2 linked regions of the Stegostoma tigrinum genome follow. The protein of the gene in region 1 interacts with the protein of each later gene in a biochemical or structural test. Links are inferred from orthologs where the notes say so. Each region holds a gene or a part of one and is shown in the gene's direction. Other genes may lie near its edges.

Region 1 (3,749 bases):
ATGGCCTATTCAAGTTTTTATTTCACTAATTTCTCCATTTATAGCTGTTCTAAGCTTTTACTCGCCGCATTGGACTTGCTGTCAGTGGTGGTTCTCATTTAATTATTGGCTACTCCATTCACAGAAGCTGACAGAAACTTCTGAGTTGCTGATATTTAAAAATAGACTTAGTTTCCTGAGAGGAGTTTGCCTTTCTTATTCGGAGATAGCAAGATGTGGAGGTGCCAACAGTCCCGGTGAAGGGAGTAACCTGAAAAACATTGATTTTCCTGTTGCCTGACCCGCTGTGTTCCTCCAGCTCCACACTGTATTGCCTTCCTTACTTTCTTTAGATGGCTGAGGTGTTTGTAGTTCTGAAGATTTCTTCAGGTTGTGTTCACTGCCGCTATCATATTATGTGAGACAGTGATGTCCACCGCCGCCAGCATACTGTAATGGGCAGCTAAATTAAATCTTCAGGTGACCACTATTGACGCATATTATAATGGTCAGGCTGGGAAGCTCTCAGTAGCTTCACTGCCACTAACCTTTTTTAGTGGTAGCAGTCCACGCTTCTGAGTTCATGAAGGGGAAGGTGCCTACACAATCTTTTCAGCAGAAGAAAGAGTAATTCTTGTGAAACAGTAAATACATTTGTTATATATTACTAAATAGTTACATCACATCTGAAATACAAGATGGTCTCTTGTGAACGATCAGGTTCAACTTAAGAGTAGGTCCATTTTGCTGCTAGTAAAACATTGTCAATAAACGCAGAACTAGTTAACTCCCCCCAGGAACAGCCTTATACAATTATTTTAAATCAATCCGTCCAGGCATGTTATGACACACCTCTGGGATAGGTGGAATGGAACCCAAAGTCTCTAGCTGAGATATAGACACACTTCAAGGCCATTACCATCCTTCAGATTCTGATTGGCATCATGCCAGTTAACCCTTTGGGTGCTAACTGCCTGATACAAGAAGTGTCTCTTTGGCAAAAACGCCAAGTTGGTGTAGCCAAATATTGGCAGAAATGGTAGAGACTTCGAGGTACGAGCAGTGGCAAACTCCGCAGGCCGTACTTATATAGAAAAGAACAGTACTGTGTGTTCCAGGCTTTTGACACTTCAATTTAGGCTGCGATGCCACTAAGTCTTTTTATCCTCCTGCACTACAAATGTTCTGACGCAGAGAAGTAGTCGTCAATTTTTTTAACAGATGCGGATTGTCCCGTGTAAGTTTCTTGAGTGTTCAACCATTCTGACCATTTTACAACTGGAAAAAGTGCTGAGTGCAGAGCTATCGTTCAAAAGTGCAAACAAAAACCCTGTAAAGACTTGCTTTCGCGTGTCACAAGCTAGTTGCGATTTGCGTGGGAAGTTGGGAGCTCCCCCTCAGCTTGAGGAAACTTCAATAATAAAGGGTGGTAAGGATCGTGACCGCCGAGAATAAAAGTTGCGGGTGGACCACACCGCGCTTATGCTTGCGTGTGCGCGCGCAGTAAAGCGGAGCCTCCCAGCAACTCGGGGAAGGTCGGTCCGAGCGGGGAGGGTAGGCGGCGCGCGGACCGTCCCAGGCCGTCAGCTTCGATCCCGTGGGAGGCCAGGGGGCGCGCCTGCTCCGCGCTGACGGGCACGCGCGCTCTCGCGCAGTGACGCGCTCCAGCCCACCTCTTCCCGCCCCTCGCTGTGACAATCGCCCGTGCTGCCAGTGGGGGAGCGCGTGGCTGCGAACCCTGTGACAGTGGCGACCCGCTGCCGACGAGCACCTGAGACCACAGCGGAGCGGCTCGCAAACCTGCCCGGCAAGATCGGGGGCGAGAAGCTGCATCTACCTCCAGCAACCAGGTAAACGTGACGCCTGCTCCTGCCGGGCAAGTGCCGCGGGGGGAAGCGACCGACATTCGTGCTGAATGCTTTGAAGAGTCAAGGTTAGTGTCGTTTAGAAAAGTGCTGATGTAACTGCCTGTAAATCAATACATTGGGACGTAGCGAAGGGCAAGTACGAGGGTGTTTAAATATCGAGTAACCAAGCGAGTGGAAAGAGTTTGGACAGAGCAATTTGCTCACAGTACTCTGCACTGAAGAATTCAGCTCCAGTTGTACTTAAGTCATCACCCCTGAAAACACATTGCAGAACTTTCACAGTCCTATTGAGCAGGTTGGGATGTTTCATTCACTTTTTTAAAGATGACCATATATACCTTGTATGACTCCAACTCTATATTATTTCTTGTCAGCAACTAAGTGAACTCCTTTCAGAAGCGCTAAATTGAATAAATATTTCAGAAGAGGTGCCCAGTTTGTTGCACTAAGTCATGTGGCTGTGGTATGTCGCTTTATCGGAGTTACTGTCGCTGATACTTCATCTTTTGCAGATGCTAATCATAGATGGGGAATTAAATTATCTAGGTTTATGTTATGTTTGGCTACTTTTGTCTATTGTTCAAAAATCTCCATTGAAGAATACAACGATGTTGCGCAAGTAAAAAGCATTAATCAATGGTCTAAGCATTTTTCGCGATAAGAATTTAAACTGCTTTGTGAAACATTATTGACGTTAACATTCATAAAAAACCTTGAAGTATTTAGCCACGTATGTTTAAGCATTTTGAAATAAATTTAATTACATTAAAATACAATGAAATCATGACGGGTCAAATTCAGATAATTTGAAACTCTGAATCAGGTTATCCGCCATTCTGTGGGCAGAACAGGAAATCTAATAGAAGGATGCCTGTGATGAACCTAAGTTCTGGACTGATAACTCTGGATTAGCAGAACGTATACACACGTTATTGTGTAACTGTTCAAATCAATCAGACTGGTGTCAGGACATGCTAGAGCCAAAATCATAGCAAACTTGTAATATTAGCTCCAAAATGGTCTCACCCACATCCGAAATGAATATACACCAAGGAACATTTTTAATATCAATGAAAAGGAACTGATTTACTATCTTTTGCTAGATTGCTGTTTACTGCTTAAAGATGAAATATTTAATGACAGAAAGTAAAGCAAAGAACCTGCTGTTGCAGGATGGCATTGAAAAGCTGACTCTGATTGTAATGTCCAAGAAGCCATACTATTTTGCAAACATAACGACACTACACACACTCGGAGGTACGCGAATGATCGCCAGCGTTTCTGAAGCAAGGATCAGGAAAATGGACGAAATGTATCAACGTAAGAAAAGGAAGGTTATCATCCTGGTGGCCCTGAAGAATCTGGTGAGTGGCCACCCATTTCCACAGCTGAAGCCATAAAGGCCACCGAGGTCTTCCAGGATTCCACGCTGCAGCACAAAATCTGGAAAATATGCTTAACTGCATTGACAATGTAGCAGAAGACTGCATGCTAAGCAGATTACAAATTACTGACTTTTCCAGAGCTACCTTCCAATGCTTTTCAATTATTTTTACTGCACAAGGTCAGGCCATGGTAACGTGTTGACGACTTGAAAAATAAAGACATTTTTCATATTTACTGTGTTACTACTATATTTTCTTCATTTGTTGCAGGCAAAGCAAGTTACATATGGTGTCCTCAGCTCTCTTGAAGCTCCATTTCACATGGATTTGTGGGCAGGCCCCGACTATTTGACTAATTACACTTTTTCAGTTTATCGGAGAAATTATATTCAAATTATTAATCAACCTACATGTACATTGTACATTTTATACCGAAGGATCATAGACCTGAAGCATCAGGCTGAATATTGAGGAGGTTGGGATGCTTTGTACAATTTTTAAATTCAAAAGATATGTT
Region 2 (3,749 bases), on another chromosome or scaffold:
TAAGGAGTTAAAACAAAGTTGCTGGAAAAGCAAGGGTCACTGGACCTGAAACGTTAACTCTGTTTATTCCTTCACAAATGTTGCCAGACCTGCTGAGCTTTTCCAGCAACTTTGTTTTTGTTCCTGATTTAGAGCATCCACTGTTCTTTCGGTTTTATAATATTAAGGAGTTATCTAACTGAAGTCTTTAAGATATTAACAGTTAAAGACAGGGTAGGTAAAGATAAACTATTACTAATGGTTGGGGATTCTAGAACTAGGGGGCACAATCTAAAAAATTAAGACCAGGCCGTTAAGGACAGATATTAGGAATCAGTTCTACACACAAAGAGTGGTAGAGGCTCAGAACTCCATATCACAAATGGCAATGGATACTGGATCAGTTGTTCATTTTAAATCTGATTTGATACATATTTGTTAAGCAAAGATATTAAGGGAAACGGGCAGAAGACAGGTATGTAGAGTTGAGCCATACATCCAGACATTAATGTACTCTGAATGTAACTTTGACCCTAAACTTGGCCTGGGCTCTTCCAGGGAATTCTCATATTGACCTCTAAACTTTGTATTGCCCTTAACCTTTGCATTGCCCTTTTATTTGACTCTTAACCTTTGCACTGCCCTTTGCCTTGACCACAACGTTAGCACAATCCCTTGTTCGCCCTGGGACTGAACCCGACCCTAGAACCCTGAGATGCTGCTTGACCTGCTGTGTTCATCCAGCCTCACATTTTATTATCTTGGAATTCTCCAGCATCTGCAGTTCCCAAATTCCTTGAACACTGTCGCCTCCCTGTTGCCATGGGAGACGCGGCGCTGTAACCACGGAAACCGCCCGTCAATTCTGACCCCGCCCCCTCGTCGGAGCGAGCGCCGCGCCGGCCTGCGTCAGACGCATGGCGTGGTGACACAGTACGTGCGTGCGCGGGTGGCAATCTGGGCGGCTGGCCGGCGCGCCATGTCCCGGAAGGTCTCTTACTTTTATGACCCAGATGTGGGCAACTTCCATTACGGTCAGTGAGGGGGTAACTTTGGGACACAGGGTGGAGAGTGGGAATGGGGTTCGGGTACAGAGAACTAGGGAGCGGGTGAAGCAAGAGGGGCCATATGTAGGGACTGGGGGAGGGGGCGTGTGGGGACTGGGGGGGGAGGGGGCGTGTGGGGACTGGGGGGGGGAGGGGGCGAGAGGGGACTGGGGGGGGGAGGGGGCGTGTGGGGACTGGGGGGGGGAGGGGGCGTGTGGGGACTGGGGGGGGGAGGGGGCGAGACGGGAGGGGGCGTGTGGGGACTGGGGGGGGAGGGGGCGTGTGGGGACTGGGGGGGGAGAGGGGGCGTGTGGGGACTGGGGGGGGGAGGGGGCGTGTGGGGACTGGGGGGGGGAGGGGGCGTGTGGGGACTGGGGGGGGAGGGGGCGAGACGGGAGGGGGCGTGTGGGGACTGGGGGGGGTGGGGGCGTGTGGGGACTGGGGGGGGTGGGGGCGTGTGGGGACTGGGGGGGGAGGGGGCGGGGGGGTGGGGGCGTGTGGGGACTGGGGGGGGAGGGGGCGAGACGGGAGGGGGCGTGTGGGGACTGGGGGGGGAGGGGGCGTGTGGGGACTCGGGGGGGAGGGGGCGAGACGGGAGGGGGCGTGTGGGGACTGGGGGGGAGGGGGCGTGTGGGGACTGGGGGGGGAGGGGGCGAGACGGGAGGGGGCGTGTGGGGACTGGGGGGGGGTGGGGGCGTGTGGGGACTGGGGGGGGTGGGGGCGTGTGGGGACTGGGGGGGGAGGGGGCGAGACGGGAGGGGGCGTGTGGGGACTGGGGGGGGAGGGGGCGAGACGGGAGGGGGCGTGTGGGGACTGGGGGGGGTGCGGGCGTGTGGGGACTGGGGGGGTGGGGGCGTGTGGGGACTGGGGGGGGAGGGGGCGAGACGGGTGGGGGCGTGTGGGGACTGGGGGGGGGAGGGGGCGTGTGGGGACTGGGGGGGGGAGGGGGCGTGTGGGGACTGGGGGGGGAGGGGGCGTGTGGGGACTGGGGGGGGAGGGGGCGAGACGGGAGGGAGCGGGTGGGGACTGGGGGAGACGGGAGGGTGCGTGTGGGGACTGGGGGGGGGAGGGGGCGAGACGGAAGGCAGCGAGATAGGAGGGGGCGCGTGGGGACCTGGGGGGAGGGGGCGAGACGGGAGGGGCGCGTGGGGACCCTGGGGGGAGGGGGCGAGACGGGAGGGGCGCGTGGGGACCCGGGGGGAGGGGGCGTGACGGGAGGCGGCACGTGGGGACCCGGGGGGAGACGGGAGGGGGCGTGAGGGGTGAAATGGGCAGGGGCGCACATTGGGACAGGGGCGTAAGGGGTGAAAGGAGACGGGGGTGTGAGGGGTGGAACGAGAGTGGGAGCACGTAGGGACGGTGGGGTGAGGGGTGGAACGAGAGAGTGGGAGCACGAAGGGACGGTGGGGTGAGGGGTGGAACGAGAGAGTGGGAGCACGTAGGGACGGTGGGGTGAGGGGTGGAACGAGAGTGGGAGCACGTAGGGACGGTGGGGTGAGGGGTGGAACGAGAGAGTGGGAGCACGAAGGGACGGTGGGGTGAGGGTTGAACGAGAGAGTGGGAGCACGTAGGGACGGTGGGGTGAGGGGTGGAACGAGAGTGGGAGCACGTAGGGACGGTGGGGTGAGGGGTGGAACGAGAGTGGGAGCACGTAGGGACGGTGGGGTGAGGGGTGGAACGAGAGAGTGGGAGCACGTAGGGACGGTGGGGGGGGTGAGGGGTGGAACGAGAGAGTGGGAGCACGTAGGGACGGTGGGTTGAGGGGTGGAACGAGAGAGTGGGAGCACGTAGGGACGGTGGGGTGAGGGGTGGAACGAGAGAGTGGGAGCACGTAGGGACGGTGGGGTGAGGGGTGGAACGAGAGAGTGGGAGCACGTAGGGACGGTGGGGTGAGGGGTGGAACGAGAGAGTGGGAGCACGAAGGGACGGTGGGGTGAGGGGTGGAACGAGAGAGTGGGAGCACGTAGGGACGGTGGGGTGAGGGGTGGAACGAGAGAGTGGGAGCACGTAGGGACGGTGGGGTGAGGGTTGGAACGAGAGAGTGGGAGCACGTAGGGACGGTGGGGTGAGGGGTGGAACGAGAGAGTGGGAGCACGTAGGGACGGTGGGGTGAGGGGTGGAACGAGAGAGTGGGAGCACGTAGGGACGGTGGGGTGAGGGGTGGAACGAGAGAGTGGGAGCACGTAGGGACGGTGGAGGAGGATGAATCAAGACGGACATACAGACTGGGGGAGGGGACACATTGGGCTATCAAAAGGGAGACCAAGGGGGTTTATAGAGACTCTCTCCATGGGAGAAAATGAATGGTGAATTGAAACATACCGAAATGTATTATGATAACTGAGGTGATTCAGTGAACTGAGCTATGTGGAGAGGTGGTTACTGAGTGGATCAGTGGCTGGAAGGTGCCAATGGGGTTACGAGCAGTTAGTTATAGAGAAAGGGGAACATATCGAGACATGGGGAACATTGACACATTTATAAGTGGCCATTCTTCGATACAATGTTGGAGATATATGACTTAGTGGTTATTAAGTGTACAAGTGCTGCACTGAGACAGGAGAAATGACATGAGGGTTACCCAAACGTGATGGTGCCAGTAATTCAGGGATGTGGATTTATGAACCAGAGGGAAGATCTCAAATCCCTACCTCAGCAGCTTAGAATTTTAATTAATTTATTTAACACTTCATGTCAGTAATAGTGATTAGAAATTGCTGGAAA

What was found.
Region 2: the proteins of pparg (region 1) and hdac3 form a complex in vitro, tested with the Homo sapiens proteins (3 studies listed by BioGRID, with this or other methods). The link is inferred for Stegostoma tigrinum from reciprocal best matches to the Homo sapiens genes PPARG and HDAC3.

What each region holds. Positions count from the first base shown.
Region 1 is NC_081364.1:24,842,406-24,846,154, forward strand, and holds the start of pparg (peroxisome proliferator-activated receptor gamma), read left to right. Parts: upstream 1-1,621; 5' UTR 1,622-1,829; exon of another isoform or gene 1,830-1,912; intron 1,913-2,033; exon of another isoform or gene 2,034-2,142; intron 2,143-3,749. UniProt on the Homo sapiens protein: Nuclear receptor that binds peroxisome proliferators such as hypolipidemic drugs and fatty acids.
Region 2 is NC_081366.1:12,269,107-12,272,855, reverse strand, and holds the start of hdac3 (histone deacetylase 3), read left to right. Parts: upstream 1-907; 5' UTR 908-958; coding exon 959-1,013; intron 1,014-3,749. UniProt on the Homo sapiens protein: Histone deacetylase that catalyzes the deacetylation of lysine residues on the N-terminal part of the core histones (H2A, H2B, H3 and H4), and some other non-histone substrates.